7 linked regions of the Macaca fascicularis genome follow. The protein of the gene in region 1 purifies or fractionates together with the protein of each later gene. This does not show direct contact. Links are inferred from orthologs where the notes say so. Each region holds a gene or a part of one and is shown on either strand. Other genes may lie near its edges.

Evidence for each region.
Region 2: the proteins of MED9 (region 1) and MED20 purify together in Homo sapiens (affinity purification with mass spectrometry; 6 studies listed by BioGRID and IntAct, with this or other methods). This does not show direct contact. The link is inferred for Macaca fascicularis from reciprocal best matches to the Homo sapiens genes MED9 and MED20.
Region 3: the proteins of MED9 (region 1) and MED12 purify together in Homo sapiens (affinity purification with mass spectrometry; 6 studies listed by BioGRID and IntAct, with this or other methods). This does not show direct contact. The link is inferred for Macaca fascicularis from reciprocal best matches to the Homo sapiens genes MED9 and MED12.
Region 4: the proteins of MED9 (region 1) and MED7 purify together in Homo sapiens (affinity purification with mass spectrometry; 5 studies listed by BioGRID and IntAct, counting the BioPlex papers as one, with this or other methods). This does not show direct contact. The link is inferred for Macaca fascicularis from reciprocal best matches to the Homo sapiens genes MED9 and MED7.
Region 5: the proteins of MED9 (region 1) and MED13L purify together in Homo sapiens (affinity purification with mass spectrometry; 5 studies listed by BioGRID and IntAct, with this or other methods). This does not show direct contact. The link is inferred for Macaca fascicularis from reciprocal best matches to the Homo sapiens genes MED9 and MED13L.
Region 6: the proteins of MED9 (region 1) and MED23 purify together in Homo sapiens (co-immunoprecipitation; 3 studies listed by BioGRID and IntAct, with this or other methods). This does not show direct contact. The link is inferred for Macaca fascicularis from reciprocal best matches to the Homo sapiens genes MED9 and MED23.
Region 7: the proteins of MED9 (region 1) and MED25 purify together in Homo sapiens (co-immunoprecipitation; 3 studies listed by BioGRID and IntAct, with this or other methods). This does not show direct contact. The link is inferred for Macaca fascicularis from reciprocal best matches to the Homo sapiens genes MED9 and MED25.

The regions. Positions count from the first base shown.
Region 1 is NC_088390.1:17,577,514-17,581,490, reverse strand, and holds the start of MED9 (mediator of RNA polymerase II transcription subunit 9), read right to left. Parts: upstream 2,801-3,977; 5' UTR 2,767-2,800; coding exon 2,543-2,766; intron 1-2,542.
Region 2 is NC_088378.1:129,647,976-129,652,065, forward strand, and holds the start of MED20 (mediator of RNA polymerase II transcription subunit 20), read left to right. Parts: upstream 1-1,290; 5' UTR 1,291-1,391; coding exon 1,392-1,405; exon of another isoform or gene 1,406-2,028; intron 2,029-4,090. Other genes in the region: BYSL (bystin), read right to left, coding at 582-849. UniProt on the Homo sapiens protein: Component of the Mediator complex, a coactivator involved in the regulated transcription of nearly all RNA polymerase II-dependent genes.
Region 3 is NC_088395.1:77,823,137-77,826,636, reverse strand, and holds part of MED12 (mediator of RNA polymerase II transcription subunit 12), read right to left. Parts: coding exon 3,267-3,500; intron 2,886-3,266; coding exon 2,739-2,885; intron 2,580-2,738; coding exon 2,480-2,579; intron 2,350-2,479; coding exon 2,213-2,349; intron 1,994-2,212; coding exon 1,862-1,993; intron 1,495-1,861; coding exon 1,368-1,494; intron 955-1,367; coding exon 725-954; intron 353-724; coding exon 272-352; intron 141-271; coding exon 1-140. UniProt on the Homo sapiens protein: Component of the Mediator complex, a coactivator involved in the regulated transcription of nearly all RNA polymerase II-dependent genes.
Region 4 is NC_088380.1:163,931,908-163,936,049, reverse strand, and holds the start of MED7 (mediator of RNA polymerase II transcription subunit 7), read left to right. Parts: upstream 1-1,342; 5' UTR 1,343-1,401; exon of another isoform or gene 1,402-1,797; intron 1,798-4,142. UniProt on the Homo sapiens protein: Component of the Mediator complex, a coactivator involved in the regulated transcription of nearly all RNA polymerase II-dependent genes.
Region 5 is NC_088385.1:123,225,482-123,229,563, reverse strand, and holds the start of MED13L (mediator of RNA polymerase II transcription subunit 13-like), read left to right. Parts: upstream 1-1,282; 5' UTR 1,283-1,405; coding exon 1,406-1,477; intron 1,478-4,082. UniProt on the Homo sapiens protein: Component of the Mediator complex, a coactivator involved in the regulated transcription of nearly all RNA polymerase II-dependent genes.
Region 6 is NC_088378.1:35,557,851-35,560,749, forward strand, and holds the end of MED23 (mediator of RNA polymerase II transcription subunit 23), read right to left. Parts: intron 1,581-2,899; coding exon 1,413-1,580; 3' UTR 501-1,412; downstream 1-500. UniProt on the Homo sapiens protein: Required for transcriptional activation subsequent to the assembly of the pre-initiation complex. Component of the Mediator complex, a coactivator involved in the regulated transcription of nearly all RNA polymerase II-dependent genes.
Region 7 is NC_088393.1:57,821,044-57,825,067, forward strand, and holds the end of MED25 (mediator of RNA polymerase II transcription subunit 25), read left to right. Parts: coding exon of another isoform or gene 1-78; exon of another isoform or gene 79-113; intron 114-1,713; coding exon 1,714-1,958; 3' UTR 1,959-3,524; downstream 3,525-4,024. UniProt on the Homo sapiens protein: Component of the Mediator complex, a coactivator involved in the regulated transcription of nearly all RNA polymerase II-dependent genes.

The sequences.
Region 1 (3,977 bases):
CTCGTTCTGTCACCCTTGCTAAAGTACAGTGGCATGATCTGGGTTCAAGTGATCCTCCCACTTCAGCCTTCCAAGTAGCCAGGACTGCAGGCACACACCACGCCTGGCTAATTTTTTTTTTTTTGTATTTTTTGTAGGGATGGGGTTTTGCCATGTTGCCCAGGCTGGTCTTGAACTCCCAGGCTCAAGCGACCAGCTCACCTCAGCCTCCTAAAGTGTTGGGATTACAGGCATGAGCCACTGCGTCTGAAGGTTTTATGTATTTTTTTTTTAAGTCCCTTCTGTGTCCCTTTAGACGAAACAGAGACAAGCACATGTGATCAGCCCACTAGGTTTCACAGGTACGCTCTTGAGTACATCTCCCAACAATCCTATGACATAAGCATTCCCATTTCATAAGAGAAAAACAGGCTCAGAGAAGCTAAGCTACTTGCCCAGGTCACCCAGTCAGCACATTATAGAGCTATTACATAATCTAAACCTATCTTTTGAGGTCCACTATGGACATATTAGAGATAAGAAGATTATGGCCTAGAAAGGTTAGACATTTATATCAATATTAGAAGGCATGAAAATGTCAGTATACAGATTTGAACTCAGGACTGTCTAACTTCAAAGCCTCTTCTCTGTAGTATAACTTACTACTACATCTTTAAGGCCAGCCCAATCCAGCTGCTTTACCAGGGCTCAAGAATATACTCTTGGGGGGTTCAAGAGCTGTCTTTGTGAATGTGTACATTTTGTGTTTTCCTTTTTCCACATTTTTCTTAAAACCAGTAAACTGGGGTTAATCTGACTAAACCCTTTATAATCCGGCACTGCCCTGGGATTATAGGGGCTCCATATGTATTTCTGTCTGTGATCATTATCACAGGCTCACAAAAACTGAACAGGCTGTCTTATCCCAGAAACATTTTTTTAAATTTATTTATTTATTTATTTTTGAGACAGAGTCTTGCTCTTGTTGCCCAGGCTGGAGTGCAATGGCATGATCTCGGCTCAATACAACCTCCACCTCCCAGGTTCAAGTGATTCTCCCGCCTCAGCCTCCCGATTAGCTGGGATTACAGGCACCCACCACCACACCTGGCTAATTTTTGTTTTTAGTAAGAGACAGGGTTTCACCATGTTGGCCAGGCTGGTCTCAAACTCCTGACCTCGTGATCCGCCTGCCTTGGCCTCCCAAAGTGCTTGGATTACAGGCATGAGACACCACGCCCGGCCCTTATAAACAGTAAACACCAAGTGAAGCCAAATGAAGCCAGGGTCTAATGTGAGAACAAAGCCTTTGTAGTTATTTGAAAAGTGGCAGAAGAGCATCAGGTCATCCCACAGCAAGTGAATCTAGTTTGCTTAAACTCAAAAGTGGGTGGGCCACTAACGGTCAAGACCTTCACGTTGTAACAATTCCGTTTCAGTAAAACAGTGAAGAGCACATTCATGTTCACCTGAATGTTACTGGATTCGTAATTTTCTTTTAATTTACTTTGTGGTCTTTAATGGCTGAATAAGAGTTATAAGCCTAAGGGTTTACACCTACTATCACGTGGATATAGAGTGAAGTAACATAATGAAAATAATTTACAGCCTAGGCAACACGACTAAATTCCATCTCTACAAAAAGTACAAAAATTCGCTGGGTGCTGTGGCTCATGCCTGTGGTTCCGGTTACTTGGGAGGCTGAGGTGGGAGGATGGCTTGAGGCCTGGAGGTTGAGGCTGCAGTGAGACGAGATCACGCCAATGTACTCCAGTCCGGGTGACAGAGCGAGACCCTGTCTCAAAAAAAATAATAATTTAGGCAAACACGGGGATCAGTATAATAATTTAGGCAAACACGGGGATCAGTAAGACTTTCGTGCTTTTGTTTTTGGTTTTTCCTTTACAGAGTCACTTTGAAAACTCAGGCTACCCTAAAGGCTGGCCAAAAGGATGACAATTATCTCCTTTGGTACTGTTAGAACAAAGTCAGTACAGGTGGGTCTAATCATCTCAGGCAACTTCTGTGTTTTTGCTTAGTCTAATATTTCCCATCGCCACCGCTCCCCTCTCAATCTTTTTGAATTATGGGTTATTCCCAATCATGTCTTTTTTTTCCTTCTATGCCCCTTTTACTGTGTCCATCCCATAGCACTTGGCAGTGTCCCACACAGGGAAGATGATGCTTATCTGTTGAGTCTGTTGAAATAAGGAACTAAAGTGAGTATTACTAACATTAAAGGTGAGAAAACTGAGGCTTAAAGAGATTTAATTTGCTCAAGATCGATGGGATGCACGTTTGAGCCGCTGGACAAGAGTCTGTATGTAGTCTCTAAGCTGGCTTCATTCTTAAGGATATCGCACCTCTCGGGGCTCAAATCGTTTGCTTAACTCATGGAATGTCTCTGTGGTCTTGGGAAAGGCCTCTTCCCGCTCTGGGTCTGAGTTTCCCCATCTGCGAAACGGGGGCGTGCCCTAGAGCGCCAAGGCCTCTTGAAGCTCTGAAACGGCTGAGACGAGAAGCTGGAGGGAGTATGGGGCCTGGTCCTCTCCTAGGTTCTTACCATTTGATGATGCTGTGAACCAAAGGTAAAAAGGAGTAGTTCTCTTCCTCCCTCGCGCGGGCAGGTGACTGAGGCCGTGGCGCCGGCGACTGCTGCGGCTGAGGCGCAGGGACAGGCGGCGGCTGAGGGGGCGGCAGCGGCTTGGTGTCAGGCAGCGGCTGGTCGGACGTTGGCGGCAATGCATCCTCCGCCTGTCGCCCGGCTGCCACCCCAGCAGAGGCCATGGCTCCGGGGTTAGGTTAACCCAGAGGTCGGGTCGCCGACAGCGTCGCGAACTCTATACGTCACCACCGCGCGCCCTGCAGGGGCGCAGCGTGGAGGAAGGCTCTGAGCATGCGCACTGGGCACTCGGCCGGCAACGGGGCGGAGGCGGGGTGGGGAGACTGTTGCTAGGCGACGGGCCGTGGGTGGGTCTGGGGTGCCTGGTTTTGGGTTGAGTCAAGACCCAAAATTATTTAAATATTATTAAATAGTGAGAAATAGGGGATTTATTTCAGAAATAACAATTTTTTTTTTTGAGACGGAGTTTCGCTCTTGTTGCCCAGGCTGGAGTGCAGTGGCGTGATCTCGGCTCAAAGCAACCTCCGCCTCCCGGGTTCAAGTGATTCTCCTCCCTCAGCCTCCCAAGTAGCTGGGATTACAGGCATACACCACCACGCCCGGCTAATTTTGTATTATTAGTAGAGACGGGGTTTCTTCATGTTGATCAAGCTGGTTTCGAACGCCCCACCTCAGGTGATCCGCCCTCCTCGGCCTCCCAAAGTGCTGAGATTACAGGCGCAAGCCACCGCACCTGGCCATAAATAACAATCTTCTTATTCCTATTCACACGATGAAGAGGGCCCCAAAGCCACAAACACAGGAAGCCTTGAGGTCAGTAAGGCGCAGCCTGGCCCAGTGCACCCAAGTCTGGAGAGGAACCACTGGACCTGCAGGAGGCGTAGACAGCACTTACCTGCTGGCTGAGGCACCAAACCCGGCCCGGCCCACAGTGCGAGACATCGAGACCTCCTGCTTAGCCCTAAGGACGCAGAGGCAAAGGGATTGCGGTCCCTTCAGTGCTGCATGGCTGCTGAGAGTCTGATAATTCAACTCAACACACTTTTAGTATGCACCTGCTGGATGGCCAGGTGTAATGTGTGGTTGCAGGGAGGCTGTCCTTGCTTTCAATACAAGGTAGAGGGGATTCGTGCCAGGAATAAATATCATATCCTGGAAGAACGACAAAGTCAGGTACGCTCCATACCTTCGGGCCAGTTCCTCAAACCCCTAGGTCCCAGTTTCCTCACCCCTAAAATCATATTTAGTTCAGAGTCATGGCAGAGCCTAAACTGCATTCTAACTTCACATTCGTGGCTGACCCCAAAAGGTCTTGTTGGCATGAGGACTCCCTAGGATCATAGGCCAAAGATGGGTTTATGGTTATGCTTCTCAA
Region 2 (4,090 bases), on another chromosome or scaffold:
TCTTTCATCTCTCTCCCTCTTTGGCTGCTAAACAATGTGTTTTCTGCTCATAACACTTCCCATTCGTTTTTCAGTTCTCAACTTAAAAGGTCCTGCTGCAATCGGAGAAGCTTCTCAAGACCAATGCTATTGTTACCAGGGAAGCGACACTTTATCATAGAAAAATATTATTCTAAGAGTCTACTTAATTGACTCTCTACTGGGCTTGACTGTAAGGTCCTTAAGTCAGACGTGCCTATGTTGTTTACTTCTGTACCCAAACATTCGATAGAACTCCGAGCATAGTACAAAGCTCGTAGTGGGTATCCCATATATATTTACAAAACCAATGGATAAATGCTAGGGTGGAGCGAGCGATTACTGTTGGCCTAACTTAGGGGATGTGTAGAAGGGAGTGCCTAAAACTAGGAGTGGACGCGGAGGGCTCTGAACAGGGTTCAGTCTCCCATTCCATTACTTTTGCAAGTGTAATACGGACCCTTTGTTGACTCGAAGCAATTCCCCTGCCAGACACTTTTTAGCTGTCCACCCCGCCCCACTACTGGCCACTGTCTTCCTCGGATCTCATCCCAGACACTCACCCAGCCGCGTGGTGCGTTCCCGCGACGCCGCGGGCTTGTCCCCAGTCCCATGCTCGGCCTCGAGCTCCTCCTGTTGCTGCCGTGCTTGCTGCAAAATCCGCCGGCTCAGCCGGGGTCCCACATACTCTTCCTCCGTTTCTCCGGTCCTGCGACCCCGCCGCTTCTCCCGGACCCCTGCCCGCACCGCATTCCCAGCCAGGATCTGATCGGCCAGGGGCGCATGTTTTTCCTGACCCCCGACCCCACGGGCCGCCTTCAATTTGGGCATTTTTCTCGAAAACGTTGCCGCGGAGGTTCGCACGTGGAGACGGCGAAAAAGCCAGATTGCGCTTGCGCGGTGGACTCCCGGCTCTCAAGAGGCCACGCGGCGATCACAGCGCCCCCTAGCATTCGGAGGCCAGAAGCGCCATCAGCGCCGCCCCTCCCACTAAAAGAGCTCCCGGGTTCCGGTGCTGGACTCCCCAATATATTTACAGCCTTTAACGTTAGCTTCTCTCAACAGTGCAGTCTTTGAGTGTCGCTCTTAGCTTCATGGGTCTAGGCCTAGAGTGCTCAGCCAAACGAGAATGTCTGGATTTAGAAACCTGTGGGCGGGAATCCGCAGATGATGTCACTAGAGGTGTCACCGAGGGGCCCTGAGACCCGCCCCACTCCTTGGGGAAGGCGTGGACCCGGCGCTCTGTTTTTACGTATTTCCGGAGTCTCTTCCGAGACCGAAGGTTGTGTTGGGGAACTGAAGCAGTTTCTGTGGGCGGATAGGGAACCCTGCGTTTCTACCGTGTGATCCGGCCGCCTTCCTGGCCCGACGCCATGGGAGTGACTTGGTAGGACTGCAGGGGGTTTTGTAGGGCGGAGCTTGGAGTTGTGAAGGGCCGAAAAGAGGACCTTGACCGTGGTCCGCCGTCCCCTGGGAGCTGTCCTCGGGTTGTGTGGATGAGAGGATGCCGTGCGAGCCGCGGGTTCCCCGGCCTTGTTTCCTCGGAGATGCGCCCCTTCCTCTTGGAAGGCGGGAAAGCAAAGCGAAGTTTTTTTTTTTTTTTTTTTTTTTTCTTTAAGACGGAGTCTCGCTCTGTCGCCAGGCTGGAGTGCAGTGGTGCGATCTTGGCTCACTGCACCCTCCGCCTCTTGGGTTCAAGCGATTCTCCTGCCTCAGCCTTCCGAGTAGCTGGGACTACAGGCGCCCACCACCACGCCCGGCTATTTTTTGTATTTTTAGTAGAAATGGGATTTCACCATATTGGCCAGGCTGGTGTCGACAAAGCAAAGTTTTTTGTTTTTTTTTTTGTTTGTTTGTTTGTTTTTGAGACGGAGTCTCGCTCTGTCACCCAGGCTGGAGTGCAGTGGCCGGATCTCAGCTCACTGCAAGCTCCGCCTCCCGGGTTCACGCCATTCTCCTGCCTCAGCCTCCCGAGTAGCTGGGACTACAGGCGCCTGCCACCTCGCCCGGGTAAGTTTTTTGTATTTTTAGTAGAGACGGGGTTTCACCGTGTTAGCCAGGATGGTCTCGATCTCCTGACCTCGTGATCCGCCCGTCTCGGCCTCCCAAAGTGCTGGGATTACAGGCTTGAGCCACCGCGCCCGGCCGACAAAGCAAAGTTTTTATCCCAGGAACCTATCAATGGTTGTGTACCTCATTCCCTTCTAGATTTATTTTCCTTCCCGTGAGGCCATAGTACTGCCCGCAATGGGACGTCAGGGTTGGAAATAGGGTCTTTGGACTGTGACCCACCTGCAGACAGGGTTAGAGGGAGTGTGTTATAAGCAATCAGGAAACAGTATTTTTAAAGATTTTCTTTATTTTTCTTTATTTCTTTTTCTTTCTTTCTTTTTTTTTTTTTTGAGACGGAGTTTCGCTCTTGTTGCCCAGACTGGAGTGCAATGGCGCGATCTCGGCTCACAGCAACCTCCGCCTCGCGGGTTCAAGCCATTCTCCTTCCTCAGACTCCGGAGTAGCTGGGATTACAGGCATGCGTCACCACGCCCGGCTAATTTTGTATTTTTGGTAGAGACGGGGTTTCTCCATGTTGGTCAGGCTGGTCTCGAACTCCAGACCTCAGGTGATCCGCCCGCTTCGGCCTCCCAAAGTGCTGGGATTACAGACGTGAGCCACCGCGACCGGCCAAGATTTTTGCCTACCCTTCCCTCAGCCATCAAATGCAGTTAGACCAGCTTGTGTCTGTTTCTAATTTGCCCATTTTAAGATCTTGGGTCCAGAGGGAAAAAGAGGCTATTGAAAATAAGGAGATCATGGTTCCAGGCACTTTATCTCTTTAGGACCCGTTTCCCACTATGTTTAATTCCATGGTTAGTCTAGTTTCAGAGGAGTTTTTATCTTTCATAGGTTTTAAGTCTCCGTTGGAAGAAGATGAGGTAGCAGGGAAAGGTATGGGTCCAGTGCTTGTGGAGGCGTTAGTTGTAAGGTGCCAGGTCCCAGAACATTTTTTTCTTATCTCAGTAGATGTGAGCATTTTTCCCCGTGGGAGAAACCCAGAGGCCAGGATATCTGAAGCCAGTGGCTATAGGCTTCTCATACAAAAGCATGTGTAGGGGAAATACTTTTCCTCCTGGTAGCCCAGGTTCTTGCAGGTTTCTCAGTGATTGCACTCTTGTTTCCCACAGTTCACATCATGATCCTCCTGTGTTCCTTAATGGAAGCAAGATATGTGAGGGATGGAAATAGAAAGGATGCAGCGTAGAACCCTGGAACCCCATGCTCTTTTTTAAATAAATAGAAATGGGTTCTTGCTGTTTTGTACATCCAGGTCTTGAATTCCTGAACTCAAGCGAGCCTCCTGCTTTGGTGTCCCAAAGTATTGGCATTACAGACACGAGCCACCGTGCCCAGCCACCCCTGCTTTTTAAATGGAGAAGGCAGGCCGGGCGCGGTGGCTCAAGCCTGTAATCCCAGCACTTTGGGAGGCCGAGACGGGCGGATCACGAGGTCAGGAGATCGAGACCATCCTGGCTAACACGGTGAAACCCCGTCTCTATTAAGAAATACAAAAAACTAGCCGGGCGAGGTGGCGGGCGCCTGTAGTCCCAGCTACTCGGGAGGCTGAGGCCGGAGAATGGCGTAAACCCGGGAGGCGGAGCTTGCAGTGAGCAGAGATCCGGCCACTGCACTCCAGCCTGGGTGACAGAGCGAGACTCCGTCTCAAAAAAAAAAAAAATAAATAAATAAATAAATAAATAAATAAATGGAGAAGGCAGCTCCAGGGCAAGGGCTCTCTGTTGGCACCCTTATCAACGTTTTCAGAATCCTAGGACTTCTGTCCCTTGTAGCGTCAGTTTAGGGATTCTTTTATATTTCAACATAAGGCACATTAGCAACATTGTTTATCAGTGCTTTTTCTGATAGAGTAGTGACAATTTTTAGCAACAGAAGGACTCTACCCTAATAGATTCATTTAGTTGATCATAAAGCAATGTCATCTATGACTGTTTTCTTGATTTCTATATAGCTAAGTACTGCCTGTACTATTGTTTATTAATTTTTTAAATTGATCTTT
Region 3 (3,500 bases), on another chromosome or scaffold:
ACGTGTCGTGGCTGGTCGTAAAGAACCCCAAGGGTCCCTTCGATCTTCTCCTTGGGTGGGGGCTTCACCTCCTTCTCGACATCTGGCTTCTCCGGGGATGGACTGCCCTTCCCCTCACAGGGCATAGTAGGGGAGAACAACTGAGAGAAAGGTGAGAAGGCAGAACATGAGAAGAAGGAAAGGGGATGAGCGGGGGTAAAGAAATGCCAAACGCAGGCATAATGGGAAGATCAAAGGAGCCAGATTCTGCCACGCTCAGGATTGAACTTACTGAGAAATCAGGCTTCTCCATGTCCTCAAAGAGCACACTGGAACTAGGGTCAATGTCCATAGATTCTGAAAGCCCTGGATCCTGAGGGCATAGAACATAAGCAAAGTTGCTTTAGCCCTAGGGAGCGGCTCCCACCATCTAGAAAACTTCACGGGGGAATTGGAGAGAGAAGACCAGATTGTGGAAAGCACAGGATCTGGAGTCAAGTCATCCAATCACTTAACCAGTATAGGCCTCTGCTTCCTTCAGCTTGAAAATGGGGACAAGAGTACCTCACAAGGCTGATGGGAGGAACCAATGAAACAATTGATGTGATAGTGCTTGGTCAATCACCAAGTGCTAAGAAAATACTACCCCCCTGCCCCACGCAAAAGACGCTCTTAGAGGCCTCTGGGAGCCATGAAGATAGAAATGTCAGAAGAAACGATCTAGGGCAAGGAAAAGCCCACTCACCTCCAGCTTGCTGCTGCTGCTGCCTTCAGCCTCCTTGTGCTCTGGGTCATCGGCAGGATCATCAAAGGGAGAGGGAGGCCGGGGACCAGGGGCTCCAAAGGCAAGGTCCCCTCGGGAGATGAGAGTGCAAGTATACATGTTGTGGGAGAAAACATCATGTCGAATCAGTTCACAGAACAGCAGTACTAAGTTAAAGAATTCCACCCGCTCACTCTCACTTCGGGGGTCCGCTGGAGGAAGGGAATGAGGAAACATGAGTTAGGAGAACACAAAAAGGTGGGCCAAAAGAGAGAGGGACACACCTAAGGCAATTAATAGGAGTGATAAAATAAAAATCCCAGAAACTGTCGAGGGACAAAGCGTGGTTGGTTACCTCACATGCTGCCCCACACACCATCTCAGAAAGGAATGTAATGTCTTTGTTGCGATTTACGCAGTGAAAATGCTTCAATCACAAGCTCTTGTTTTAATCCTTCTCTGTATTTCTCTACTTTAACTGTAAGATGATCAGTTAAAGAGGATCACTAGAACTACATCTAAAAGTCATTCTGCATAGAGCCCAAGAGAGAAATATACTTTTTGATGACAGTGGCGGGTAACTGAGTCTAGGCAGACGCAACTAGAGAGTGGTAGGGGTCCGTACTCAGCATGGGAGCCTGTGTATCCAGAAACTGCAGGAGGACATCCTGGAAAATGGGAGCACTAGGAGCAGAAAGGGAGCCAGAGGCGATGGAACCCTTCTCATCTGCGGCTTCTGATTCTCCACAACGCTGCAAGATGACAGAACAAATTGTAGAACTGACTTTTACCTGCTTCTTCACTCCTCAATGTGTAGGCCTTAAACTACTACCTGCTTGACCTCTACCCCATGCTTTTCATTTTCATTCCCCTGCTGACCTCCATCTTCTTTACCACCTCCCAACTGAAGCCTTGATGTTATCTCTAATTCTGATAACAATCCACTCTTCTCTACTTTCACCTCATGTCCGTAACTTTGCCTTTAGGTTCTCTTCCACTTCTTTCCTCTGTTCTCACACCTTCAACTCTGGTCCCTCCACCACCTCCATCTCTTGGTCTCCAACCCCAGTAAATTCCTTCCCATTGGCCAATCTCATTCTCTTATCTCTGCCCTCTAACCTCAGCCTCAATCTCCGCCTGTCTCTTCTCCAGGAGCTTGGCTACCACCATAGCACGATGCCGACCAGAACGCTTGCAGCTGACAGCCCATTCACATAGCAATGACACCACAGCATCATCATCTGAGGAGATCTGGAGACCAAAGGAAGAGAGGGAGGAGTAAGGTAGGGGTGGGGACAAAGAAATGAGTTCCAATTTCCTGAAGACTGCACTCCATCATAAAACATTCTGGGCCCAGTAAGATCATTTCTGCAGATATGCTCTGCTTTCAATGCCTCACCATGACTTCCCCTCAGATATATTATTGCTCTTGCAATGTTTTTTGCTCCTTCTATTCCCCTTTTCGCTTACCTCATGCCCATCCTTGCTAGGCCCCAATCCAAAGATTCGGTTACAAAGTGAGTCAAGAGAGTTGCTGAAGTCAGAGCGCTCAAAACTATGGCTATCCAGCACTTCCAAAGTATGAAGCACCCGTCCAATGGTGAAGCCTAAGGAGGAAAAGTGGTAAAGGGGACTGAACTAGAGGCCCAGTGCATTCTGGCTCTCAGATCTACATGTCCTTACTATCTCCATCCTTTCCTCAAACATACTTCCTATTATCTGTTCTCCGACACATACCTGCAGTAGCTTCCTGGCATTTATCGAAAGACCAGCGAACTTCAACTGCCTGTCCCCGCTCCTTGATCTGCTGCTCGATCTCCCGCAACTTTGCACGGACCTGCAATGTTAAAAAGGAAGGCTATAAGGATGTACCAAGGCATACAAAAGGCCAGAGCCCCAGGCTAGAAGAATAGTACCAGACTCCAAATCACTATTTCTGAGAGAGCACTTTAGCCTCATAGCCCAATCAGAGTACCAGGCGAGTGGTCAGACATACCTGCTGAGTGAAGGCACTGTTACCCTCTGGCATGGGCAGGTTGGAGGGGGCAATAGGCAAGTGGTCAAGTGGTGAGCCGGTCTTAATTCTGCTATCAGTCAGTGAGTAGTGCCAAACCAAGGCACTAGGACAACACAGGAGGATGGTCTGCCAGATAGAAACAGCTAAGTCCAACTCGTTCACATGGCTACCCCTCTGGAATCCCATTCTAAGACCAAACCCGTAGATTCCAGATCCAAAGTTATTCTGACTGGGCCCCCAAGACAGGCATCACTCCACCCGATCCCCTCCCTTCACTCACTTTCCTAAAAGGCTCTGGGCCTACTATTTAGCCCTGGAAGGGAGAGAGAGGCTGGTCAAAACCCCCAAAGGGGACTAACACCCCATTACCAAGAAACAACCACCTCCAAGCAAGTACTCAGCACCTACTCCCACATCCAATTTGGAATTACCCCTATACTCTGGGATGGGCACCCAATTCTTCTCAGGTTATCTCTCAATGCTTCCTTGGGCCCGCCTAGTACCTACCTGTAGGATACAGCTGAGGCCAAAAACCAGGGGCCGGTGCTGAGGGCACATAAGCAGGTCACTAAAGGGAGTCGAGGGGGTGCTGCTAGTTGGGGGCTGAGGAGCAGGGGTGGTGGGTAGCGAGCTTGTTGACTGAGCAGATATAACATGAGATGAGTGACTGCTCACACCATCTAGCTGCAGGGCCAGTCTCCGTGTACAAAAGTAGGCAAGGCGGCGGGACAGGTACGCAGA
Region 4 (4,142 bases), on another chromosome or scaffold:
CAAAAATCAAAGAAATCCAGATGAGAGATAATGGCAGCATGGCATAGGACCATACCAGTAGGGACGGTGGTCAGTCATATTTGGAACTTTATTTACTTATTTTTAAATAGAGCTAATGCAAAAGGCTGGTATGGTAGTTTCGGTGGGGTATGGGAGAAAGGAGAAAAAGGTGATTCCTTAGATTGAACATTTGCAATTGAGTAAAGTGCAACGGGGTAAAGATGTCTGTCACCACTGGATATGAGGGTCTGAAGTGCAGAGGAAACGGTGTTCCAGGGCCTGCATGTATCTGGGTGATATCTGACTGAGAAGTGGTTGGAGAACTGAGTCCTGGGGCAATCCAAATAATCAAATGTGCCAAATGCTGCTGACAGAGGGAGTAAAACGAGGACTGGGAACAAGCATTGGAAGTCACGGGTGCAGGACATATTGGGGTCAGCAGTGAGGATGAATTTCTTCAGGAAATAAATTTATATGTGCGGGGGAATTAAAATGGGGGAGGCCGGGCTACGTGGTTCACGCCCGTAATTCCAGCACTTTGGGTGGCCAAGGCGGGCGGATCACTGTAGGTCAGGAGCTCGAGACCAGCCTCACCAACATGGTGAAACCCTGTCTCTACTAAAAATACAAAAAAAGGAAAAAAAAAAAAATTAGTCGGGTGTGGTGGCACATGCCTGTAATCCCAGCTACTTGGGAGGCTGAGGCACGCGAATCGCTTGAACCCCGGAGACAGAGGTTGCAGCGAGCCGAAATCGCGCCACTGCACTCCAGCCTGGGCGAAAGACACTCCGTCTCAAAGAAAAAAAAAAAAAAAATAAAACAAAATAAACCAACAAAAAACCCTGCATATCTGTATTTTCGAATTTTTATGTAAGATGTCTTCATTGTATGGGTTAAATTAAAAAAGAAAAGACAAAAGGAATGGAACTACCAGCTGCGACTGTCAGCAGAAGAGTTGTAATGCGGGCAGCGGGTGGAACACACGAACAACCTTTGCTAGGTTTTCTTTGGGAGGTTATTTTCGCGTCATAAATGTCTAAATTCATGGAAGTCTTACAAGAGCATGTTACATATTAAAATATAAGATTTTTTCTAGTCAATAAGGGGTCTATAAAAAATAAAGCAATAAGATGTCTTGTTTAATTTTATGCCTTAAAGAAACGAAGAAACAACCCTCACTTACTACTTTTAAAAGTCAGTAAAAGGGGTGGCGATGGCAGGAGTCGAATATACGCAGGCGCAATAGCGAGCGATCGGTCTGAGGCGGATCTAGAATCTCGTTAAAGGACAGCTCCTACAGCCAATCAAAGACAGAGTCGGTGGCTTCTTCCAGGAGGAGACCGGAAATTGGTTTCGGCTGCAGAGGGGGAAGGCGGCTACCAGTGTAAAGCCAGAGTTGAGGTGAGTGGGCGGCAACGGCTTGGGGCCCCTGCGTGTGTGCGTTTTTTTCTTCCGGACCCCGCGGTTTCCTCTGTGCTGGGCTGGGAACTGGGGAGGCATGGAGGAGTTCGGCCTCCGAAGACGCTCTCTCGTCTTTCTGTCCCGAGTCTCTCCGAGAGCGCGGCCTCCCCGCCGCTCGTGGAGGTCTCGGGATGGACAGCCTGGAGGAGGGGGCTCTTAGCGCTGCAGTCCCAGGGCTTCCTCCGTGTGGGGACGCCGAGCCGGAGTGGAGGTTGGGAGACGTGGTGTCTAGTCCCCTCGCCGCTGTTTTTCTAGGCTGTGTGGCCTTGGGCGAGTTATTTGCCCTTTCTGGCCCTTTGTAACATGAGAGTAGCCCTCCCTGCCCTTCCTTCTTCTGGGAGCAGTTGTGAAACAGCTGAGATACGGGGGCAGGCGAGGGCAGTAGATCCCAACCAAGCCTAATCGTCAGGTCCATCTGGAGAGGTTTTTAAAGCGACATACCAGGGCCCATTCACAGTGGACAGAATGAATCAAATCTCTGGGGCTGGGACCCTGGAATATCTGTCGTCTTCTGGTGAGGCGCCTTCTCCCCCAGAACAAACACTAGATGTTGGATCTTGAGTCTGAGAACCAGTTATGATGCTTTGCTCTGGTTTTATTAAAATAAGACTTCCATCGCCTTTGAAAAGTTCCATCTAGAGAGACAGTAGAGAAAAATATAATTTTTGTAATATGCAAGTTCTAATTGTACAATTAGATGCTTCACGGCTTAGAGATATAAGAGAGCTTGCCCTTTGGAGCTAAAGGGACCTGGGATAAGAATTCCTGTTGTACCATTTATTAACTTTTTGATCTGGGGCAACACTTCCCCTCATTGAGACTTGGGATCTTCACCTCTAAAATGAAATTGATAATAGAACTTAATTCATGGGACCCTGTGGTGGCTCACGCCTATAATCCCAGCACTTTGGGAGGCCGAGGTGGGCGGATCACTTGAGGTCGGGAGTTCCAGACCAGCCTGGCCAACATGGTGAAAACCTGTCTTTACCGAGAAATAAAAAATTAGCTGGGCGTGGTGGCACACACTTGTAGTCCCTAGCTACTCAGGAGGGTCATGCAGGTGAATCCCTTGAACCCGGGAGGCAGAGGTTGCGGTGAGCCCTGATCATACCACTGCCCTCCAGCGTGGGAGACAGATTGAGACCTTGTCTCAAAAAACAAAACAAACAACCTTAATTCATAGAATTGTTATGAAGATTATGTTAGAGAGGCCATAAAACAACAGTATCTGTCACGTAGTTGCCTTAGGAAAATGACAACCTAAGTACAGGAATGCACATCGTGTAGGAAAGTACAGAGCAGCACTCGTCACCTAAAAAGGTTTGAGTGGAATGAAACGTAAGGTGTCAAAAATTGTGTTTTGAAGTACCAGATCAATGTTAATTCCTTGATTTTGGTAATTGTGCTGTGGGTAGAAGAAAACATTCTTGTCCTGGGAAAACACATTGAAGTATTCAGGGGTGAAGGAATGAGAAACCAATAAAGCAAATGAAGGAAAATGTTAACATTTGGAGAATCTGAGTGAAGAATATGAAGTGTTCTTTGTATATGCATGCACTTTTTCTGTAATCTGAATTTATGTTATAAGTTTTAAAATGTTGGCTGGGAGTGGTGGCTCACACCTGTAGTCCCAGCACTTTGGGAGGCCAAGGCAGGAGGATTGCTTGACCTCAGGAGTTCAAAACCACCCGGAGTAACATGGCAAAACTCTGTCTCTACAAAATATACAAAAATTAGCTGGGCGTGGTGACATTTGCCTCGTACTCCCAGCTGCTTGGGAGGTTGAGGTGGGAGGATGGCTTGAGCCTGGGAGGTCGAGGCTGCATCATCCTATGCACTACTGTGGCATGGTGGAAACTCAGGGCTGCACCATGCCTGCCCTTAGTACCTCACGAATTCTAAGTATAATATTGCTTCTAATAGAATACTTGCCCCACCTGATGTTAGAGGGTGTTATATCTTGAAACTTTGATAATACCAGTGTAAAGGAGCACTTCAGAATCTTCTCATTGGATGGTATATCTAGGCTTAAGGTAGAGTAAGTAGAGGTTATTATGGCCATAGAAGATACTGGGTTTGAACCTGGGGTTTGAAATTTCTGTGATAGTTGTAGGGAAGTTAATGTGTCCATACAGGCCGGGCGCGGTGGCTCACACCTGTAATCCCAGCACTTTGGGAGGCCAGGGTGGGCGGATCACCTGAGGTGGGGAATTAAGAGACCAACTTGGCCAACATGGCGAAATCCTGTCTCTACTAAAAATACAAAAATTAGCCGGGCATGGTGGTGTGCGCCTGTAATCCCAGCTACTTGGGAGGCTGAGGCAGAAGAATTGCTTGAGCCCAGGAGGCGGAGGTTGCAGTGAGCTGAGATCGCACCACTGCACTCCAGCCTGGGCATCAGAGCAAGACTCCGTCTCAAAAAAAAGAAAAAAAAAGTTAATGTGTCCATATAAAATTGCATAGTTTACTGTGACAAAAAGGATATGGAACTGAATCATTTCATTCAGGAACTTTGGATAATACCATGTGTTTAGTATTTAGCAGTGTTAATTTTGTCAGTGTTTATGAGAGATACAAGTAAGTGTTTGCTATTGGAAATCAATCTGTAACATAAAGCAAAAGTGATTGTGATACGAGATTGGGAGACAACATGTGTAGTTTGGTTATGGAGGAGTAGAGAA
Region 5 (4,082 bases), on another chromosome or scaffold:
GCTCAATACACATTTCTGTATTAAACGCACAGTGCCTGGAACACAGTAAGCGCTCCCTCTGTGGCAGCCGTGAATATCCCTGGGCAAAGACTGTGAAACCTAGTCCAAGAGCTTGGCTTCACTGTGCGCGGGTTCGAATCTGGACTCCTCTTCCCAGGTGTGCGACCTCGGGCAAGTGACTTAATCCCTTTGTGCTTCAGTTTTTTTTCTCTGTATAAGGCGGACGGCGGCGCGAGCCTCCGAAGACACACACTTCCCAGAGCACTCGGACCCGCTGCCTGGTCCACAGCGCGGCCGCCGCGCCACGCCAGCCGGCCTGGGCTGCGGGGACACAGGCCGGGGGCCCCGCGCCCGCTTCCGCGGCCGCCACGGGCGCGACCCGGACCCACGGTCCCGCCCCGGACCCACGGTCCCGCCCCGCCACGATCAGTGCACCGCGAGGGGGCGGGGCGGCCACGAGGGGCAGCCCACGGCAGCCACGGGCCGGCAGTCCGCCGCCCGCCGGGGAGCCCGGCCGCCTGCACTTCTTTCTCTCCCTCTCCGCCTCCCTCCCTCCCTCTTCCCGGCTCGAGGACCCGGCCGCGCTCGGCTCAGCAGCGCCTCCCGCGAGCCGCCGCCGCCGCCGCCGCCACTCCGGACCCCTCCCCCGCCCGCCCCCTTCTCCCCCCGCGCGGCCGGCGCCCGTCACGTGACCCGGCACCAGCCAATGGCGGGCCGAGCCGCGGTCGGCGGCCGCCATTGCTGTCAGAGCAAGCGAGCCCGGGGAGGGAGGAGAAGCGAGGCTGACTGGGGAGGAGGGGGGGGTGGGGGAGGAAGAGGAAGGAGGGGACGTCGCTCGGCTGCCGGGGTCGCCCGCTGGCTTCGTCCGCACCCCCCCCTTCGCGAGTTCGCGCTCCGCGGCGGCGGCGGCTCCGAGGCGGCGGCGGCGGCTCCGGGGCTCGCCTCCCCTCGCGCGCCGGCGGGGGCCGAGGGGGAGTCGGTGGCTGGAGATAAACAAGGCGGCGGCAGCGGCGGCGGCGGCTGAGGAGCAGGGAAGGCGGAGGCGGCGGCCGGCCCGCAGCGCCGGCCCGGGAGGCAGCGGCGGCCCTGAGAGGCGGGGTGGGCGCCGGGCCGCACGGACAGCGCCCCCCGCCGCCGCCGAAGCCGCCGCAGCCGCCGCCGCCGCCCGAGCAGGAAGGAGCCGCGCGGCCGCCGCGGACCCCCCCGCCAGCCCGGGCCCGCCGCCCCCGGCGCGGCGTCGCCGCGGCGCCTCCCGCCTGCCCGCCGGCCCTCGCGCCCTCCCCCGGCGGCGGCGGCGGCCCGGCCGCCCCGCGCTCCCCGGCGAGGCGCCGCCGCCCGGCCCGGCCTCGCCTCGGACGCCTCGCTCCGACATGCCCCGCTCTGGCGGCCGGGCTCGCGGAGGATCATGACTGCGGCAGCGAACTGGGTGGCGAACGGGGCGAGCCTGGAGGATTGTCACTCCAACCTCTTTTCGCTGGTGAGTAGCCGGGCTGCGGGGAGGGGGCTGTGTCGGGGAGGGGGGGCTCCCCGACCTCCGCCGCCGACCAACTTTCTCCTCCCGCCGCCGGGACTTCGCCCCTCCCTCGCGTCTCCCCGCCGTTCGCCTCTCGCCGATTCTCCCCCTTTTGGATCGTCTCTTTCTCGCCTTGGATCCCATCCAGTGTTTATTTGGCTCTTTAAAAATCATTTGTGAGCGCGGCGCTCGGCGTGGAATTTGCATGTGGAAGTCTCGGAGCTGCGGATTCTGGGTCGCACTTCGAACGCCCACCCTCTGTTGCAATTGCACTCCCCTTCTCCTCCCCTTTCCCCCCTTTTTTTCCCCCCTAAATGTGGAAGGCTTTGCCTTGTGCTGCCCGCGCCTCCGATCGGCAACCTCTTCCCCGTTGTCGGATCGGCTGCCTGCCCGCCCGCCCGCCTGCCTTTTGAATTTTTTTAAATTCCATAATGACACCTGCAATTTCGCCCGAAAACAGTTGATTGAATGCGATTGTGTCAGGAAAGGACTCTTGCACCCGAAGCTCCCGCGATTGTAAACATCGACAGCCGCTTGCCTCTCGGGGCTTACTACGCTGGAGAGCCGTAAAGCCATTGCACCGAGCCGACGGAAGGTGGAGAAAGCTTTTTTTTCTTTCTCTCCTTCTGTGTCTTTTAAAAACTGTTTTCTCTGTCCTAACAACGAATCCACACACACACACACACACAAAAGCAACAAGCTGGGCGGTTTGATAACATCGCTTTTATCTGCTTTCGCCTCTCTCGCGCTCTCTCTCTGATAATTGACAACTTTTCCTTCGGATTTGAATCGCCTGCCTTAATCTTGAAGCAGTTAGGGTGTCAATTGTTCTCGTGGAAGCCTGGCACCCGCCGACGGCGTCTAGATTCATCGAAATTAAAAATGTATAGGGCTCCAGCAACTCTTTCCTGGCGGTGGCAGTGACATTTGGTGGTAAATGCCATCTTTGCTTTTTATTGGGTCGTATTACCTACCTCTGAAAACATTCACGTTGTTAAACCTGGCGTTTAGGCTAATAATTGCAGTGCGTGGTCTTTAAATATGTGCTTTGTGCATGAATTACTGTATGTATAGCTATGTGCCCAGGAGAGTACGAATTTGTTTAAATATTGAGCAAAGATTTGTAAACAGATGTAAGGCAATTACGTTTCAAGCGTAGAATATAATTGGAAAATTGGCTGAACAGTTTATTTAATTTATCCTTAAAAACACCCAACTTAGTTGTGTACCCTGGTTTTTTTAGGGGGAGGTGAGTCCCTTTTGGAGAACATACATTTTGGAAATTATTTTCTGTAACCCCCGCTGTAGATAGAAGCATCATTTCCCTCTTAATCCTTGTTTACACTGGATAAATAATTTAGTGTTCAAATTGTAATTAGTTACATTTAATTATGGGTGGCCTAGATGCTTTTTTGCTATGAGACTAATGGAGAAATGCAAATTCTCGCCAACTTTTCAAATGAAAGTATTATGTTATTAAATGTGTTACAATACAGACCAAAAAATCAACACACGCGATTTTTACCTACAAAGACCGAGTGACATAGTATCATTGATCCCACTCTAGTAAGATCAGGTAAATTTTTTTAAATGAAATATTTTAATCCAGATATTTCATCTTAAAATTCAGTTATAAGTTGGAATTCTTTCTCTTAGTATTTTGATAATTTTCCCTTGATTTTTTTGGTATGTGGGAGTAAAACCCCCTTTTGCCCCTTCTTTTTCCCTCCTCAGTCTTATCATTTGGTATCAGTCAGGTTCAGGGACTTTCACAGATTAGCAAACATATTGATCAAGGGGTATTTAAAATGGTTTTTGTGTGGTTACTGGTGATCACATTGACACAGGTAATTAAAATAACCAAATAGAGAGATCTCCCAAATTATCATATATTATGCTGACTGGTAATGACTGTGTATATACAGATTGTGTAGACGTATGAAAGTGTATGTATAGCCAGTCTTTTAGGGTATATCATTTCTTTTATCTTTTTTTTTTTTTTTTTTTAAAGCTTAAGTAAGAATGATAACGTTACAGAGATAACATGCTTGAGATTCTTTTGGAGAAGCAGTTTTGTAGGAGAGGATTCTGTACTTTGATTTTGACTGACTAAAGGTTTGTGTTTCAGATATTTCTCCCCTAAACCTCTTTAAACCAAAGGATTGATTTTTGAATATGCTTTTAAAAATAATTATTTTTTAAGTAGCAACTTTGAAATAGAGAACTGTAGTAATGCTTAGTTGATTTTTTTTTTTTTTGAAAGGAATGTAGAATGTCTTCATTGTCTTGTACATGGAGTGTGGATAAGGTGCTATTAAAGAAATCTAAACTGCTGACTTGTACATTTTTCTGATTCCAAATTGATATTTTTTTTGAAAATGCTATACAGAAGCAGCAACCTGGAATATTAAAAGTATGTTGCCTAAAGTACATTGTATATAATAGTTATTTCTGAAGGAGATCTAATCCCTTGTTCAAAATAAAGCATATTTTTTATAAGAACGCTTTATGGTTTAATCATAGCTTGCATTTTTTTCTTTTGGCCTGCAGATTTTTTTTTTCTTTTTTT
Region 6 (2,899 bases), on another chromosome or scaffold:
CAGGCGCCTATAGTCCCAGCTACTCAGGAGGCTGAGGCAGGAGAATGGCATGAACCAGGGAGGCAGAGCTTGCAGTGAGCTGAGATCATGCCACTGTACTCCAGCCTGAGCGACAGAGCGAGACTCTGTCTCAAAAAACAAAAAACAAACAAACAAACAAAAAGAATGAGTCTGAGTCTGCAAAAATTACTTTTACCATTATATAAATTTTTAGCTGGACTTGCATGGCCAGTAATGATTTAGTGATGGCAATAACATGAGCTACAAAGAAAATAAAGTTCTAGGAGGAACGTATTTAGAAATATGAATTTGAAATACAGTTGGTTAAATTCACTAGTTCTTTCAAAAAGAATCTGTAACTCTTAATTCCTAGGCCAATGTCAGTCACCAACTGTAGTGTAGGACCCACAGAATACCGCATTTCCAACTGACCCCAGCCAGCACACCGCCTGGCACACAGCCGACATTCATTCCAAAGGAGTCATGAAACTATCACGTGGTATATTCATTCAGCAGACTTTACTTATTAGTTTTCAAGTCTTTCACAATGCCAATTCCCCCAAAATTAACAATGTCTCTCAAAATCCAAGAAATTCTGAAGAAATAAAATGTGTACTGTATTTACAAATACAAAATTAAAAAATTTTAAGATTATAAAAATTGAAGAATTATGTCATCTGTCAGGTGAGAGTGTCAATCTGCAAAAGCAATTATTTTTAAAAAAAGAAACTGGAGAATCAATCAAGTTCAAGAACTTTCAGATGTTATTTTCTTACATGGCTTCCAACTCATTTTATACAGTTAAGTTCGAATCCATAGCAAAGGTAATAAAACTACCAACTGACCTTGATAGAAACTATGGAAATTTATAACAAAATTTCAAGTCATTTTAAAAAGAATAGAAGCCTTGTTTGCTCCTACAACGCAACAAAGTCTAGATTCTTTTTCTTGATAAAAATCTTACTATTCTGAAAATCTACCAAGAGATTTATGCATAAAATATTTGTAATAACAGTTTTACATGTGGGGTGCCTTTAAAATAATATATCTGAAGACTAAGTATGTCATTAATAAAAAATACAAACAAAAACAACGGCTAGAATAGGAAAGACTGAAAGTGCCAATGACAAAAGTCCTTTGATCACAGATAACCTCTATGTTCCTATGTAGCTCTAATAAGTTGTTATGAATATGAACAACACGTATCTTACTTGATCTCTTAGAGACAAAAATATAGATAGGGAGATGGGAGTTATAAGGTGTCCACAGATTCATCATTTGAATCAAAATAAAACAATCTGAACATCATCACTGCTTCTATCACCATAGCGTGATCACATTCAGATTGAAAAGGTTTGAGTCCATTCTCAAAGACGGATGTATTTCCACTTTCTCCACAGTACAGTCTGGCTTCACTGAGTTACCGGTAAAGACACGGGCACCTGATTAGACTGAGGTGCTGGAGACCCACTGTTCATAGCTTGTGGAGGCACTGCAGCTGGTTCCATCTTGCTAATGTGTGTGATGAATCGAAGACGAAGTTTTAAAGCTGGTTTTAAGTTACAGATAATTTTCTCTACCTAAGAAATAAAAACACATTAAAACGTACTTTAATCAGAGAATTTCAACTTCTCACATTTAAAGCAGGATTTACACATATCCTGAGACAATAAACTAAGGAGTGGCGTGGGGTAGATGAGAAGTTTCTCAACATGTTCTGTGTTTTACGAAAAGCAGATACAATTCTTTCTTGCATGAGAAACAACACATTCTCCCTCACACACACCCATTATATATTCTATATGCATGTTTGTACATGAACCATATGTATATTCATATATAGGCATATACTTACAAAAGTATATCCACTTATCTAGCTAGCCAGTCATCCCACTACCAAAAGCTAGCAGAGTTTACACAGGAAATTTCATACATCCAACAAGCTGATCATTCTTTTAAAATGCCATCTTTACAGAAGCATGAAGCATAATTATATTTTAAAGTTCTTTGAATAACTCATGTCTGCAACATTTATATACAAAACTAATTATTTTTGTTTTGATTTACACTTGGAATTAACTAAATAATATTAGATCTACTCTTTTGAAAAACACTAAGGACACAAATACATCAAGTCGTTTCACAGCTTTCTTAGCTTTACTCAAATGCTCTTTGACCTTTTCCTTTCTGTACTCCCTTGTGTTAAAGTTTCTTAGGCCCAAATATAAAGAATACTTTTTTTAAAAAAAGCAATCAATTTCTTTTATAGTTTCTCTGCATGTTCTGTGTTGTAACAAAAGCCAATATAATTTCTCTCTTTCTTACATGAGAGAGAACAGGTCAACTCTCTTTGACACTGCTGCTGAGACATAAAGGAGTCAACCTCCTTGGTATCTCAACCCAAAGAATTGGGAGGGGTATCTCAACCCAAAGAATCAGTTATGATTCAAGGTCTTTTACTACTTTCAGACATCCCTATTAGGAAGTTCCTCTTCATATGCTAAGTCAGGATGTCCTCCCTTTAACTTTCCCAGAATTCATACACCCTCTAAAGTGACACAGAACAAATCTAATCCCTATTCCAAATGAAAACCCTCCAAAATGCTGAGGGCATAAATAATGCCCTAGGACTTTTTTTCTTCAGGTTAAGTATTCCCATATTCTTTAAATGCTCTTCATGAGTTAGTCTCTAGTCAGGATTAGTCTAGAATCCTGACTTTAGTCTTCTAGTTATGCTGTGGTTTGTCTAATGTCACCATGAGTGTTAGGAGAAGTAGGACCTCCTTTTCTCATAACACAACAACTTCTCTGCTCGTATTTCAGCAGCCATATCCCACTGTTTCTCCCTAATGAGATTATTATTAATTAACCCTCTAGGTCTTTTGGGGGAAAAGTACAA
Region 7 (4,024 bases), on another chromosome or scaffold:
GGTCCCCGAGGCCCGGTCCCCCAGCCGGGCCTGCAGCCCAGCGTCATGGAGGACGACATCCTCATGGATCTCATCTGAATCCCCAACACCCAATAAAGTTCCTTTTTAACACACGCCCCGGCTCCCGTCACTGACATCCCCCAGGACTGGGCAGGAGGAAACCCCAGGGGGCATCTCTGTCCTTGTTCTCACTTCAGCAGATATCCCTGGGGCCCTGGGTGGGTGACGCCGGGGCCTCCGTGGTGAGTCAGAGGCAGTCTGGTGCAACCTGGTTCGTGGGAGATGCAGGGACAGGCAGGCAGCGCTCAGGACTCAAGCTCTCATGGAGGTGGCGGGGCACCATGGGAGCCTGGAAGAGGTGTCTGACCCAGCCCCAGCTCCTCAGTCTTGAAAGAGAATCAGCTGTCAGGCCGGGAGGGAAGGAGGTGAGGGGTGATCTGGGTGCAGAGAACAACAGAAACTTTGAATACTCAAAGACAGGAGGAAGCCTGGGATGTTGAGAGGAGCAAATTGATGGATGCTTTTGGAGCATGAGCGTGTAGGGAGCTCATGTGTAGAGAGATGGGCAGGTGCAGAGTTTGAGGAGCTCAGATGCCAAACTGAGCAGCCCGTGGTTTGTCCTGGGGACACAGGAGAACCAGGAGACTTTGAGCGGTGGGGCGGGCTTAGGCCGGCTCTGGATGTCAGAAAGAGCCCTCTCAGCTGTGGAGCGTGATGAGACCAGACAGGAGGCCAGGAAGGGTGAGGCTGGGTGGTGGGGATGCTGGGGACTGGGGTAGAGGTTGGCTTCTGGGGTCAGGCCTACGTGATGGTAGGTGGTGGGGCTCCTGGGAGAAGGAGCTGGTAGTAAGTGTACGTGGTCCAAGGGACGTCCAGGTGACAGGTGCCATTTTGGGAGCTCAGGACGTGTCCTTAGAGGACAGTGTATGTTTGGGGTTCAAGCCACAGAAGCAGACAAGATCGCACATGGAGAGAGGGTGGTCCCTGGGTCCACATCAGAGACTGACCTTCCAGGGCTGTGGACGGGAAGACGGTGGGTCTGTCCCCAGGATGGAATACCCAGCAGGGAACAGGTTTGGGATGTGGCAAGGTGAGGGACCTAAAGGATGGCCTCAGAGACATCCTGAGGGCAGGGGATCCAGACAGGCTTGGAGCGCAGGGCGGTCTCTCCTGGAGGTGGAGAGTGAGTTGTCTGTTGTCGGACTCTGGACCAGTGTTGCTGAGAGCGCGGTCCATGCCTGGACCACCAGCATCCACATCATTTTGGATGCTGGTTAACGTACAGATTCACAGGCCCCACCCCAGGAGAGAGATTGCAATCTGGTGGCCTATGGGCCATGGTGCAGATGAGTTTTGTTTGGCCTTCCCTGTGTTAGCATATGTGGCATTTTTTTCTTGAGTTAGTTATAAAAATCAGGTTAATACACACACACACACACACACACACGCAAAATCTGCAGTCTTGGCATCTTTTGACAAGTCAGAAGAATTGGCACCCCTGGGCCCGCCCTTCTGCCTGGCAACAACGGGCTGGAGCTGCCCCTCTCCATGGGGCGTGTGCTCTCCGGTTCGCCACAGTCCCCACCACTCCCTCTTGGCTCCCCTGTGAGGCAGAGAGTCACTGCCTTTGTCACGGGGCTTGCACTGTGGTTGTTCTGTGGTAGCATTCAGAGGAAAGTGAAATCTTTCTTGTACTCATGTCTGTATCACAAGCGGCAAAACGAAAGAGAGAAGGAGAGGGCCGCGTGTTTCGAGAAAAGTGGGAGCGAGCCTATTTCTTTGTGGAAGTGAAGAGCATGCCTATGTGTTTAATATGCAAACAAATCGTGTCTGTGTTGAAAGAATACAACCTGAAACGCCACTACGAATCAAAGCATAGCAAGAGCTACGACCAGTACACAGAGCAGACTCGAGACGCCATCCTCAGCGAACTGAAAAAGGGACTCAAATGTCAGTAGGGTTTGTCTTGAAAAGCGAATTAACAGAAGTGGTGCGGCAGTGGTACGCCGTTCCGGAATCACGTGAGAAGAATGACCTGGGCATTCAGAGCTACAGCAGATGGCGAGTTGATAAAGGAGCAGAGTGACGTGTCCTTTACAGAAACACATGACTGTTGAGACCATTATTTAAGTCTAACGGGCATTTGCGTTGCACAGTGAGTTGGAGATAACTCGGGGGATTTAGAAGTCCAGTTGCTTGAAAGAGTCAAATTGATTGTGGCCTTTTCTTTCGCTGCTCATAAACTATTACCACCCAGTTAGCTTTATTTATTTGTGGTGTTAAGAAACTTGATGTGACTGAAGAAGTCTGTGGCATGGTGCCAAGGCGGGCCCAACACTGGGAAAGGACTCATTTTTTTTTTTGTATATTGAGAGAAAAGTTTCACATAGACTGGCCAGAGTTCTGAAGCACAACTACAGACAGCTGTCATGACAGGGGGACTTGACAGGACACCTTGAGCCAAGGTGACAATTTGGCAAGGACACGGAAGTCGGGTCGTTGCATCCATCATCAGGAGTTGACTTGTTCTGAGCAGCTGAACAGAACACACCGTGACGCTCTCGACACTTCCGCTCCTGGGCTTTAGTCACGAGTGAGTTGATGATGACTTGACCTGAGAGATTTCACAGAAGCTCTGTGACTTGGTTGTGGAAGAAATTGAAACTGTACAAGTTAATCAGCTTGGTTCATTTTAAATCAAGCAAAAGCCACAGTGGGTTCCCCTGAGAAGGTTAGTCAAAGACTTCTGGTCAAGGTTATGACCGTTCTGAACACTGAATATTTCTCTGCAAGGATGTCCACAAACAGCTACTTGAATGTAAGATGGTATATGCTTGGTCCTGGCAAAAACGGGGAATCCACCAGCAAGGAAAAAAAACATTTACTCTTTCCTACGCCACAGTTGGCTTTCAGAAGTGAAAGACGTGGCCTGGACTATATTCACCTACGTCCTGGGGTGGAAGACCAAATTCCCCCAAAGGCCCTCGGAATCCAGACTCATGAGAAGGAAGAGACACTGTCCAGTTTGCCTTTGTTGGTAAATGTTTCTTGTGTGAATACAGACCATAAATAGTAATTGAACTATGGTGCAATACGGCGCTGGTTCCTAAATACAAGTCTGTGTGAAGATGGTGAGATTCTACAACTATCTCCAGTAGTTGTCCTGAATATCCATGTTTGGGAGTACCCACGCTTGTGAACAGCTGTTTTCCGTTACGAACCTGAATCAAATTAAACATTGTTCCCAGTTTAAGGATTCAAGGCTGAATTCTAAACTGCCCATCCCCACCGTGCCACCCCAAGGCCTGACACATCTCGGTGTGGAAGGGAAGACGCCAGCCTTTTGGCTTCAACTCAAAGGCGCAAAAAGAATTATGAAAGAGAATTTTAATAATTAAATATTTCTATTTTTCAATTTGTATTTTTTCAATTTTGAATTTAAAAATATAAACTCCAGTATCATCCATGTTTGTATTATGTTCCATGCATTCACCATAGTTCAGTAAAGATCCGATTTGATGATATTTCTGGCCGTCGACTTTTCTTATACCTGGCTAGTTCACTCATTTATGTGACCCGCCTGGCCCCTGTAGGCATGTGAGTTTCCCATCCCTGCCCTGGAACTGCTGGATCCAGCGGGGGGAGGGCGGGGGTGTGGGAGTCGTGTGAGCAAGCTCTCTAGGCGATCCTCAGGAATGTGCGTGTGGAGCAGGAGGCACTGGTGACAGCGAAGAAGTGAAAGTGGGGGATTTCCCAGGCAGCCTGTGTAGCAGGGGTTTTTGAAAACTCAGATGGCTTCAGGGACCAGGCAGGTGATGAAAATGTGTGAAGCGGACGGGTGTAAGACAACAGGGAATGATGGGGACTGTGGCGAACTTGGAGAGTGCTTGCCCCGCCTAATGGCATTCAAATTGAAACCAAAAACACTGTGAGGACCAAACAAAATCTGCCTGTGGGTCTAATGAGGCCGCCAGGCCGCCATTTTGCGACCTCTGGAAGAAGGAGAAGACTCGAGAACAAGGAC